Linked DNA regions of Arabidopsis thaliana. The protein of the gene in region 1 interacts with the protein of each later gene in a pairwise test. Each region holds a gene or a part of one and is shown on either strand. Other genes may lie near its edges. The genes, in order: CR88 and SQN.

Region 1 (6,849 bases):
TCCGAGGAGATTGTTTATTGCTTTACTTTTGGGTTTAGTTTCATATGGACTTAATTAATGTATATTTGGGCTTTGAATATTTGATATTAGTTTGCTTATTCTTTAGGCTAGGGTTTCCATTCTTTTTCTCTTATTTTAAGAGATGTAATTCATTATTGTAATTAGTTTTTGATTATTGAATAAACGAGTTTTAAGAGAGCTTGTCTAAAGCCTAGAGAGGAGGACTCTCAACCCTAAAAGCTTGTGTTCAAGCCCTGCAAGGAGGATTTGCAAAACCTCATCGATATCGTTATCGATCTCGACCTTATCTCTATTGCTTCTTCATCAAGTTTCGGCGTTCTAAACAAAATCCGTTCGTTAATCCGAGTTCTCATAGAGATTTTGTGTTTTCGTCCGTTATTTAGCTTCCGCTCTCCATCAGATATTACTTTTGTTCAGTAGACCATTCATAAATACCTGCCTTGGATCCAAAAATAGGACAAATAAACATCATTTGCATCATTTTATTATTCTTAAAAGAAATTGCAAATTTTTGACCAAATTGCAAATATTTTGTTTTTAGGTTATACCCAATACCCACATACTGTATTATAGTCGTAATAAAAAAAGGAAAAGTTGCAAAATAAGTAGAGGACAGTGAGAAGTTGGTAACTATATATGTTTTGGTTAATTTAGTTATGGGTATGGAGTCTATAACGTATGGTTTCGATATTTCCAATAATTAGCAATCGTGTATCTTCGTTAGCATCAACATTGTTGTATTTTATTTAGTGCACACCTTCTCATAATTTCTAAATCAATAAAATTTTAATATCATTTTATCTTGGTATATGTCACTATGTATGTGGTTATTTTTATGCTTCCATGTTTTTATTTTTTTTGCCATGGAACCATTAGCTTAGGTTGAAAATCATCGATTGTAAACCTATCATGTTTTCATTTTTATGAAATATTAGGTGATCATCCGCGCTACACCACGGTTTTTTCGGATGTTTTTGTATTGTTTAATTTAAATATAATTTTTATTTATCTTATCATTTACTCATGCAATAAGCAATTACATTTAGTATTAAAATATTTTTTTCTAACCACATTCTCAACAATGCATCATACACATAATTTCTAAACAATGTTTATCTTAAACCAATTTAACAGAGGGTAGTGTTGGATTCTATAAACCTAAGAATTTAATGATGGAGCTCCTTACATATTCTTCACCCTCAGTTATTTATTATATAAATATCAATTTAAGAGAATATAAACATCAATTTAAGAGAATATAAACATCAATTTAAGAGAATAACTTAGTTAAATTATTAAGTAATATACTCATACTTTGAGTTTGGATTACCATAAAAATCTTCGAGTATGAGAAAACTATTAAAATGATTTTATTAAAAAATCATGTGATATTAAAATAAATTTAGTAAAAGTACAATTAAATATGTATAATAAAATAATATGTAAAATTAAATATAAATATATCATTAAACTATAGATTTGAAATTGAAGAGATTACATTAATTATTTAATAAACACATGTCAAATGCTAAAGTGATGATGTGTCTATCATATGAAGAGAGTTGGCCAACTTTCATATATATAATTTACGAAAAAAAAAAAAAAAAACAAATATTCAAGATCTCTTTCTTGATATGGGCCAATTTGATACGAAACATTTTCCAGCCATAACCTTTCGTTTTACTTTATACGGGCTATAGGCCCATTATGGGTTAACGTGTAGGCCCAATAAGGTGTTTTTTCAATTTGGTTTGCATTTGGTGTGTGTGTGTGTGTCAGCTACAATTTCTCAAGGAGAGGCGCGTGTAAATCAAACGGATAATCCTACGGTTTTGATGAAATGGCTTCTCGTAGACCTCACAATCTCTAAACATCTCTTCTCTTTATACGCTCTTCTTCTAGAAACCTCTCTTACCTCACTCTCCTTAAACCTTTAATAGGGTTTTTAGGTTACTCTTTGTTCAACTACTACAAACTCTTTTCTCTTTAGAGATTGAGAGATTGTAAAAAAATCTCAAATCTTTTCCTTCACAACTTTCAAATCTAATGGCTCCTGCTTTGAGTAGAAGTCTCTACACATCTCCTTTGACTTCAGTTCCAATCACTCCTGTCTCTTCTCGTCTCTCTCATCTGAGAAGCTCGTTTCTCCCACACGGCGGCGCTTTAAGAACCGGCGTTTCGTGTAGCTGGAATCTCGAAAAGAGATGTAACCGATTCGCCGTGAAGTGTGACGCCGCCGTGGCGGAGAAAGAGACCACTGAAGAAGGGTCAGGTGAGAAGTTTGAGTACCAAGCTGAGGTGGGTTCTCTTTCATATCTCCTAAAGTTTCAATCTTGTTTTCTGGGTATCTCTCAACTTGATGGGGATATAAAGTTTTAAGATTTGATTGTTGAAATCTTATCACAGGTTAGTAGATTGTTGGATTTGATTGTTCATAGCTTATACAGTCACAAGGAGGTGTTTCTCAGGGAGCTTGTAAGGTGAGTCAATTTTGATGGATTGTTTTGGAAATGATTTGTGTGTTTCTGTCAAAATCTGATTTTGAATGTGTCTGTGTATGTTCAGTAATGCAAGTGATGCTTTGGATAAGCTGAGGTTCTTGAGTGTAACAGAGCCTTCTTTGCTTGGAGATGGTGGAGATCTTGAGATTAGGATTAAGCCTGATCCTGATAACGGCACCATCACCATAACGTATGAGAGACTTCTCATTTTTTGTTTTACTTAAGTATTGAAAATTGAATAGAACAGGTTTACTTAGAGAGGTTTGATGCGTATATGCAGTGATACTGGTATTGGAATGACAAAGGAAGAACTTATTGATTGCCTTGGAACTATTGCTCAAAGTGGTACTTCGAAATTCTTGAAGGCTCTAAAGGTTTTTTTTCCATCTCTTTGAAAACCTGTTGCTAGCAAATCTTTGATGTCATGTTTTCGGACTCATTGTTTTATTGCTCTCTTTATTCAGGAAAACAAGGACCTTGGTGCTGACAACGGTTTGATCGGACAGTTTGGTGTTGGGTTTTACTCTGCTTTCTTAGTTGCTGAGAAGGTGAAGACTTTCAACTTTTGTTTTTTAGTGTCTTCTGGTTAATGTATTTCTTACGAGGAATGGACGTACAATTGTCTTTGCTTTCAGGTTGTTGTGTCCACCAAAAGCCCCAAATCTGACAAGCAATATGTTTGGGAATCGGTTGCCGATAGTAGCTCGTATCTGATCAGAGAAGAAACAGACCCTGATAACATTCTACGTCGTGGAACACAAATCACCTTGTATCTGAGGGTACTTTTCTTTATTCATTCATCCTTTCATTTGATGCGTCAGATCTCTTATAGTTTGTTTGACTGCTTATTCCTGGCTGCAGGAGGATGATAAATACGAATTTGCGGAGTCTACAAGGATCAAGAACCTCGTGAAGAATTACTCTCAGTTCGTTGGGTTTCCTATCTATACATGGCAGGAGAAATCAAGGACTATAGAGGTGAGGATGAAAGTTTTGTTTTTGTAATCATATTAGTGTATTCACATTGCTAATATGGTTTAAAATTTGTAACTTGTGGTAGGTCGAAGAGGACGAACCAGTTAAGGAAGGAGAAGAGGTAAAAAAATTATGTTGTTTTAATTGTGTGTATCAACTATCAAACAGTCACAACCAAAAGACTGTTCTAGAATTTTGTTTACTGAGTTGATTTTGTTACTTGTTTGTTTCCAGGGTGAGCCAAAGAAAAAGAAGACCACTAAAACTGAGAAGTATTGGGATTGGGAACTAGCCAACGAGACCAAACCGCTATGGGTAAGCCTTGGAGCTTTAGCCTGCGTTTTGTACTTTTCTTTCAACATGTTTACTGATTATTTTGTGTCTTTGAATAGATGCGCAATTCGAAGGAAGTGGAAAAAGGAGAGTACAATGAGTTCTACAAAAAGGCTTTCAATGAGTTCTTGGATCCACTTGCTCACACACACTTCACAACTGAGGTCTTTATACTTATACACTATACACTATATTTATGTCAATTTATGAATTCTTCAATTGGTGCTTACTAGTCTCTGTATTGTCTTGATTATTAAAGGGTGAGGTTGAGTTCAGGAGCATTTTGTACATCCCTGGGATGGGTCCTCTTAACAATGAAGATGTTACAAACCCGAAAACAAAGAACATTCGTCTCTACGTGAAGCGTGTGTTTATCTCTGACGATTTTGATGGAGAGCTTGTGAGTCTTTTATGGGTTCTTTCTTATGTAGAAATCTCTTTAGATTTGTGGTTCAATTTTTATCTGACTATGTTACCTAATCTGTTTGCAGTTCCCGAGATATCTGAGCTTTGTGAAGGGAGTTGTGGACTCTGATGATCTTCCTCTTAATGTTTCTCGTGAAATTCTCCAAGAAAGCAGAATTGTGAGTGGTGCAACTGTTAGTGATACAAATGTTTATCATATATGAATATCACAAATTGTAACTGTACTATCTTTCGTGATAATGTTCAGGTAAGAATCATGAGAAAGAGGCTCATTAGAAAAACCTTTGACATGATACAAGAAATCTCTGAGAGTGAAAACAAAGAGGTAGGTATCTCATTATCCTAATTTTGTTTTGAGCTCATTTGAAAGCCAGGGATATTCATGTTGTACAAACAATTCTAGGATTACAAGAAATTCTGGGAGAACTTTGGTAGATTCCTTAAATTGGGTTGTATTGAAGACACCGGTAACCACAAGCGTATCACACCGCTACTTAGATTCTTCAGTTCCAAGAATGAAGAGGAATTGACAAGCTTGGATGATTATATCGAGAACATGGGAGAGAACCAAAAGGCGATCTACTACCTCGCAACTGATAGTCTTAAAAGTGCCAAGTCTGCCCCTTTCTTGGAGAAACTAATCCAAAAAGATATCGAGGTATATGCTTCAAGACTTGTTTTTCAACTTCGAGTTTCTGTTTAGATTTGACTTTCTCACCACTTGCTTTTGTTAATTATAGGTTCTATATTTGGTTGAACCAATCGATGAAGTTGCTATTCAGAATTTGCAAACCTACAAAGAAAAGAAATTCGTTGATATCAGTAAAGAAGATTTGGAACTCGGTAAGTATGGTTTAGCACTGCTGACTGCCCGCACATTTCTCTCAACCATTTGTTTGTAACAAAACGTGTCCATTCTCGCAGGAGATGAAGATGAAGTAAAGGACAGGGAAGCGAAACAAGAGTTTAACCTTCTCTGTGACTGGATAAAACAGCAGCTCGGTGACAAAGTTGCAAAAGTCCAAGTCTCAAACCGTTTGAGCTCTTCTCCTTGTGTGCTTGTCTCTGGCAAATTCGGGTGGTCAGCTAATATGGAAAGGTTAGTACTTCAGCAAAAGCTTTATAACCTGAAATCCACATACCATAAAACTTATGTGCTTGTTCATTGACTTATGTGCTTATTCATTGTGAAAGGCTAATGAAGGCACAGGCTCTTGGAGACACTTCAAGCCTGGAGTTCATGAGAGGTAGGAGAATACTAGAGATCAATCCAGATCATCCCATCATCAAAGACTTGAACGTAAGTGTGTGGTATAATATTCTCTCAGAAATCTCTTGTCTCGAAAAAGCCTTATTAATTTTTGTATTCTTTTGGTACAGGCTGCTTGTAAGAATGCACCAGAGAGCACTGAAGCAACAAGAGTGGTCGATCTCTTGTATGACACTGCTATAATATCAAGTGGATTCACTGTAAGAAATCTGAAACCTTTCTTGTTTCCCAGTAAAAGTCTTGGACCATTTTACTCACTTATATGTGTTTGTTGTACAGCCTGATAGCCCGGCCGAGCTCGGGAACAAGATATATGAGATGATGGCAATGGCGGTTGGAGGAAGATGGGGCAGAGTTGAAGAAGAAGAAGAAAGCTCGACTGTGAATGAAGGAGATGACAAAAGCGGAGAAACAGAGGTAGTTGAACCATCTGAAGTGAGGGCAGAGAGTGATCCTTGGCAAGATTGATCCTTTTTTACCTTCTTTTGTTTGCAGTGATTTTTTTTTGACAGAACGCTTTATCTTTCCATTAGCAGTATCATGGGCCTAATGAAAGCCCATAATTAAATCACGCGTGAACGAGATTTATCCAATACAGTATTTGTAGTTTTTTTTTGATAATTAAAATAATTTTAGAGAATTTACACAAAAAAAGCTTTTAACAAAAATATTTACGAATATTTGAAAAATATTTGCATTTGAGTTGTATTAAATATTCTGAATTTACATCCTCTTATTATTAAAAAGAAAATACAAATTGAAAAATAGTCTAATCTGCCATCAATTTTCAATTTTGGATTTTGTACATTATTAATCAAAATCGTCTATGGTAATTTGGTCATCACTCTATATTCCTTAAATACACTATATTTCAAATTTAAATAATATTTCTTAAACACACTATATTCAATACTTATCACCTATTTATTGTTTTTTCAAAGATTTAAAAAAACTAAATATAAAAAATCAATCTAAAATAAACCAAAAATATAGTTATTAATTTTACATATTTTTTATTAAAAATATTATGTTGGCAAACAATATTAAGAGCTCGCGAATTAATTAGTGGAGCGGATTAGAATTTACAATAATTCATAATTATGCATATGGAATAAATTATATTTAAAAATCAATATTCGATATATCAAAATATGGTACAATCACACATTTTCCGGATATTATTTAAACTAATAATCTTAACGGTCCATTAAAACTTTCCAAATCAAAATGATTTCCAAATCAATCATTTGATGGAAAATTTCTTGGTCAAAATTTAAATCAAATACCGACCTGCAATAATGGGTTAGAATTTGTATTTATTTG
Region 2 (5,894 bases), 5.6 Mb from region 1:
AATTTTTCCAAGTTCTACTAAGAGCTTTAAAACATACATAAAACTTGTCAAACTGTTGCTTACCACACTCTCTTGGGATGGTCACAATATCAGTGTGGATATCCTTATTAGACCTTTGAAGTTCTGCCTCATAATCCCATAGCTTTCCAAACTGAACTTTCTGAGTTTCTACCACCATGTCTAAAGCCATTCTTCTTGCTTTTTGGCATATCCACTTAGACACAGAGAGTGTGTACCTCATCATAATCTCATCTTTGATGTCAGTCCATCTCAAAAAAGGCCGCCTTCTTGCTTCATCTCTGAACATCCTAGCGATGACTCCCTGTTTCAGCATTTTTGCTTTCCCACTCTTAGCATGGTGATGCTTATCAACATAAGTTTATACTCTCCATATACCTGAACGCTTATGAGTGGAGCAGTATATCTTCCACTCACAATTTTCATGGCTGCAGATTGCTGCCAACTTATTTGCACCCCATCTACACAACTTCACATCATAATTCATCTTCAATACATACCGCAAGAGTTGATCCTTAACCTCTTAACCACTATTGAAAGTCTGCAACATCCAAATGTATGGAGGTTTATCCTTCGAAAACTTCTGTCGAGATGATGATCTTTCTGCTTGGTCATACGCATCCCATTCATCATCTGTGTCCATTGCATGATCCGGACGCTCTACATCATAACACTGTCTCTCAAATTCATCTTCATCTTCAACCTCTTCAGCAACGGTTTCTTCTGGTACTGTGTTAATGTCTTCAGCTGCAGCATCATCAACAACATCATCTGCAGCTTCTGTACCATTGTGAATTTCGTCAAAGAAAGCCTCAAACCGAGGATCATCGTGCCTTCTTTCTTCTACTGGATCTTCTCCATTAGCTTGTACTCTTTCAGGGCACTCATTAGTTTCTGCTGCAGGCTCCTCGTCTATGATATCTTCGGCATCATCATCCTCAACTCCAAGTTCCTCGTCTTCTACAACATCATTTGGAAGCGGAAAAGCTGCAGGTACAGAGACGGCATTGACGATGTATATGTCAACTTCCCCACCAATCATCGCCTCACGACATAACTCCCTTATCCCACCATCTTTGTCGGCACCGATAACTCTTGCTGAATAGATTTCCTCTTCTGGAAGCTTGTACCAAATCGATTCGACTTCACCATTGACTCCATTTTCTTTGCAAGAATCGTCGAATATAGACCATGTCATCAGATCAGGATCCATCACCATGTCTTTCGCCTCGACCCCTCCAGAGTAATCGAACCCTTGGTCCGTGAAGGATACATCGCCTCTATAGTTTATGTTGAGTTTCAAACACTCGAAATCACTGGAAAATAGAAATTAACCGATTAGTAGTGGTAAACAAACTATAACCTAACTGATTCATAACCCCTAACCCAATTTCAAACAAACCCAGAAAATTTCAAACTTAAGAACCCTAAAAATTCAAATCGACAGACCCACAACACACAAATCGACATACCTCATCTTTTCGACTGTTTACCAACTGGATCGAACGCAGATATACCCGATCAAACGCTTCGAATCATCGCCTCTTTCAATTTCTAAGTTTTTTGGAGAGAAATTAGAAATTTGGGGAGTTAGGGTTTCTCAATCCCAAATCGATTTGGGGGAAAACAAATGAGGGTACTGTAGTCTTTTAGTTAGTCAATTAAACCGCGGATTGTTAACCATTAACCCCGGTTTAGTGATTCCGTCAGCCAAATTAACGTCTGTTAACGCGCATGAATGATTTAACCACGAACAATTAAATAGTGTTTTTCTTGAACAAAATTTAATATTTTGGAACTTTAGGTTCCAATCAAAAACAATTGGGTATTAAAGTTTTAAATAAAAAATAGTTGGGTTTTTTTTAGATTTTTTCCCTAAAAAAAAAGAATAATATTTTGCAAAAAAATTAAATAATTTTTAAGAAAAAGAAATAATAAAACCAAATATTTATTGTGTAGTGGCCATAGTGGGCAATCACCTACTATCCACTCTTATGGAATGTACCCGAAGGGACGAGTAATAAATTTCTTATTTTTTAATTTTGGCAGCAAGTAATAAATAAATTAATTAAAAGTTAAAAATAAATAAAAAGAGACAAAATTTGTTGGAGGAAGAAAGTGGGTCCTAGGGTTTTCTTCTATCTGTCGTTTTGATTTCTGCGTTTAATAAGAGACAAGTCCCCGTCTACAGTCTTTTAGAGACGGAAGCTACTGAGACAGAGATTCACACCATTGTTCTTTGTCTCTTCCTCTGATTCTTTCTCTCTCTCTCTCTCTCTCTCTCTCTCTCTCTCTCTCTCTCTCTCTCTCTCTCTCTCTCTCTCTCTCTCTCTCTCTCTGTCTCGTCTTTGTTTCGGTTTCAAGAAAGCAAGAGGAAGAAGAAGAAGAAGAAGATGGGTAGGTCAAAGTGTTTCATGGACATTAGCATTGGAGGTGAGCTTGAAGGAAGGATTGTTATTGAGCTTTACGATGATGTTGTTCCCAAAACCGCTGAGAATTTTCGATTACTCTGTACCGGTGAGAAGGGTTTAGGTCCAAATACTGGTGTACCTCTCCATTACAAGGTTCTCTCTTTCTCTCTATATCTTTGTTTATACTCTCTTATGTATGAAATGTAGAAATGGGTATTTGTTGTTTCTGTGATTTAGGGTTTGTGGTTTAATGGGTCATTCGTCATTGGGGTTTATAAAGATCAAAACTTGGTTAAATTTGCAATTAGTTGTGAAAGAAAGATCAAAACTTTAGGATGCAATTGTACTATAGAATGGTTCTGAATGCTTATGATTTGAGGTTTAATGGGTTTTTGCTCGTATTGCTGAATAGCTTCTGACTTTGTTTCAGTATTGCAATTAGGTTACTGTAGTTTGTAGTGGTGAGGTAAAGATCAAAACTTTAGGTTGAAATTGTACTATAGGATGATGTACTTATGGTATTTGGTGTATTTGTTTACAGGGGAATCGATTTCATCGTGTTATCAAGGGGTTTATGATACAAGGTGGGGATATATCAGCTAATGATGGTACTGGTGGTGAGTCTATCTATGGCTTGAAGTTTGACGATGAGAATTTTGAGCTGAAACATGAGAGGAAAGGGATGCTCTCTATGGCTAACTCTGGTCCCAACACTAATGGCTCTCAGTTTTTCATTACGACAACTCGCACTTCTCATTTAGATGGGAAACATGTTGTGTTTGGAAGGGTTACGAAAGGAATGGGTGTTGTTCGGTCGATTGAGCATGTTAGCATAGAGGAACAGTCTTGTCCTTCTCAGGATGTTGTGATCCATGACTGTGGAGAAATCCCTGAGGGTGCAGATGATGGGATTTGTGACTTTTTCAAGGATGGTGATGTGTACCCTGACTGGCCTATTGATCTGAATGAAAGCCCAGCTGAGTTATCTTGGTGGATGGAGACTGTTGATTTTGTCAAGGCTCATGGGAATGAGCACTTTAAGGTGCTTTTTCCATTGTTTTAAATTGAATATATACGTTTGTCTGTTCCATATTTTCATTTCTGTGAGTCTGATCTGTTTTTGACCTTGATTTACTCTCAGAAACAAGACTATAAGATGGCTCTTAGAAAGTACCGTAAGGCTTTACGCTATCTGGATATTTGCTGGGAGAAAGAGGGCATTGATGAAGGTGGTTTATCAGTTTTTCTCTCTATATATGTTTCCACTTACTTCATCTCAAAAAATATTTATACTATCCATACCAATGTTCCCACTCACTCTCTACTTGGGATCTTGTAGAGACGAGTACTGCCTTGCGTAAGACAAAGTCGCAGATCTTCACTAATAGTGCTGTAAGTTCATCATGCTTTTACACCTTTTTTAAAGCTACATACATCCTTGTTGATATCTTTTCTTGTAAGTTGAACATATCTACCTTATATGTGTGTGTGCTTTACGTACCATCTGAAGATTGATTGTCTTTGGAGTCGTTGATTTTTCCAAAAGAACTTAAATTTCTTACTCTGTTGGGTTTTTAACATTACAATTTTTTTTGTTGAATCTGCTTAATTCTTACGGATGAGCTGTACCGTCGATAGAATGATAAGCAATTGATTGTGAACTAAAAATTAATTTGAAGTGCTCTACACTGCAGACCTGTCATTTATGTTGGTTTCTGCTGTTTGATTAATTTCTTGGGAAAAAGTAGGGTAGGTTGACCTTGACATAAGCAGGATAATATTCTCTGAGATTATGCTTGTGGGACATACATTGCTCATATGAATTATTGTTTGCATCTCTGTTTACGTTGCCAGTGTTTTCACTTGTCCAACTTAATTGCTTTGTTGTGCCTGTATAACCGATTTTTTTTTACTATGTTATCTCATTGTATTGTAACTGGCTGTTGTGGCAGGCCTGCAAACTCAAATTCGGAGATGCAAAAGGAGCGTTGTTGGACACTGAATTTGCTATGCGTGATGAAGATAACAATGTTAAAGCATTGTTTCGACAAGGCCAGGTACTTAAAAACTTATTGTTTGACAGTTTTCTAGAACCTAGACCACAATAACGAAAATTCTAGATTTCTCATGAGAGGAAGATGGTGTCTATTTCTTATCTGCGTTTGTTTATAATGTTAGGCATACATGGCTCTTAATAACGTCGATGCTGCTGCTGAAAGCCTTGAGAAAGCTCTTCAATTCGAACCTAATGACGGTGAGTGATTCATCAAGCTTCTATTAGTTGTGGTTTGACAAGTTTGGTTCATCATTATCAATGTATGAACATAGTACAACACACTTAAATATATTACGAGAGAAATCTAACTAGCATTTATTTCTGTGAGTTGATTTTTCAGCTGGTATCAAGAAAGAATATGCTGCTGTTATGAAAAAGGTCGGTATGCGGATAAAGAACACAAGTTCTTTTTGCAGTTACTTTACTTCTAGTATAAAATCTTAGAGCTGACGTTAATAACCATGTGTTGCAGATTGCCTTTAGAGACAACGAAGAGAAAAAGCAGTACCGCAAAATGTTCGTATAGGGGGGGGGGGGGGTGCTCTGCTTCATTTAGGGTAAGCCTAAGATTTGTTGTTAATCTCAGAAAACTGACCTAGTGTAAGCTTTATGTCAACTAATTTAACTCTCAGGGTTTTTGATGTTGTCTATGTAGGTTTGGTCGGATAGTGAGGAAGAAGACTAACAAAAAGTGAAAAGAAGCATATAAAGAAAGAAAAAACATTCAAAAAAGGACTTTGGGAATTGTTTCTATTTCCCTCATTTTGGTAAACATGTTTTTACTTTTGCATCATGGCAAAGACTGATGCATAGTAATATCGACTGGGAAATTGTTTTTACCCAAAGGATAGATTCAGTGCTTGAGACTGTTAATGAAATTTTGAGTTACTTGGCCACTCTGAGTTCTTTGCTTTCTTCCACGATTTTTTTCACGTTTGCTTGAATCAGCAAGTGGGCACTACAATGCTAGGGAATTTTGGTTTCCGCAGCATGCATATATGCTTACAAAAAATCCATTGGGAACTGTTTCTATTTCCCTCCTTATGAAATAAAATCAAATACGATTATTTTTTTTTGCGAAAACAATACTTTCTTCTGTTTCTAAATGATTGATTTTCTAGAAAAAGAATTGTTTCTAAAAGATTGATTTTTAAAGTTTTTCATGTGATATTAATTGGTTAGTATTGTGAACTGTAATTTCCAAGAAAAATAGTTAATTATCATTGGTTTAGAGTTATAGAAAACTATAAAATAATAAAATAATATATTTATATTGTTTTCTTAATATGTGTGTTTTGCTAAAAATCAATCTTTAACTTAATAGAGCAGGTAGAACTGAAACAGTTTTATACTAATAAGTGTAGACCAACGACAATCACAAATTACAGCGACCGTCTCGGAGGACCTCC

What was found.
Region 2: the proteins of CR88 (region 1) and SQN interact in a two-hybrid assay, tested with the Arabidopsis thaliana proteins (one study listed by BioGRID).

The regions. Positions count from the first base shown.
Region 1 is NC_003071.7:1,279,916-1,286,764, forward strand, and holds CR88 (Chaperone protein htpG family protein), read left to right. Parts: upstream 1-1,838; 5' UTR 1,839-2,067; coding exon 2,068-2,319; intron 2,320-2,427; coding exon 2,428-2,501; intron 2,502-2,586; coding exon 2,587-2,712; intron 2,713-2,802; coding exon 2,803-2,896; intron 2,897-2,986; coding exon 2,987-3,070; intron 3,071-3,157; coding exon 3,158-3,301; intron 3,302-3,383; coding exon 3,384-3,500; intron 3,501-3,582; coding exon 3,583-3,618; intron 3,619-3,731; coding exon 3,732-3,812; intron 3,813-3,889; coding exon 3,890-3,994; intron 3,995-4,089; coding exon 4,090-4,230; intron 4,231-4,321; coding exon 4,322-4,414; intron 4,415-4,503; coding exon 4,504-4,581; intron 4,582-4,659; coding exon 4,660-4,914; intron 4,915-4,996; coding exon 4,997-5,099; intron 5,100-5,180; coding exon 5,181-5,355; intron 5,356-5,450; coding exon 5,451-5,556; intron 5,557-5,636; coding exon 5,637-5,726; intron 5,727-5,805; coding exon 5,806-5,994; 3' UTR 5,995-6,229; and 1 more. UniProt on the Arabidopsis thaliana protein: Molecular chaperone required for chloroplast biogenesis. Essential for chloroplast biogenesis and maintenance, and thus for embryogenesis. May be involved in the disassembly of VIPP1 for thylakoid membrane formation and/or maintenance.
Region 2 is NC_003071.7:6,877,261-6,883,154, reverse strand, and holds SQN (peptidyl-prolyl cis-trans isomerase / cyclophilin-40 (CYP40) / rotamase), read left to right. Parts: upstream 1-2,256; 5' UTR 2,257-2,411; coding exon 2,412-2,582; intron 2,583-2,970; coding exon 2,971-3,471; intron 3,472-3,570; coding exon 3,571-3,658; intron 3,659-3,768; coding exon 3,769-3,821; intron 3,822-4,381; coding exon 4,382-4,486; intron 4,487-4,607; coding exon 4,608-4,683; intron 4,684-4,825; coding exon 4,826-4,863; intron 4,864-4,957; coding exon 4,958-5,011; 3' UTR 5,012-5,042; intron 5,043-5,140; 3' UTR 5,141-5,381; downstream 5,382-5,894. UniProt on the Arabidopsis thaliana protein: PPIases accelerate the folding of proteins. It catalyzes the cis-trans isomerization of proline imidic peptide bonds in oligopeptides.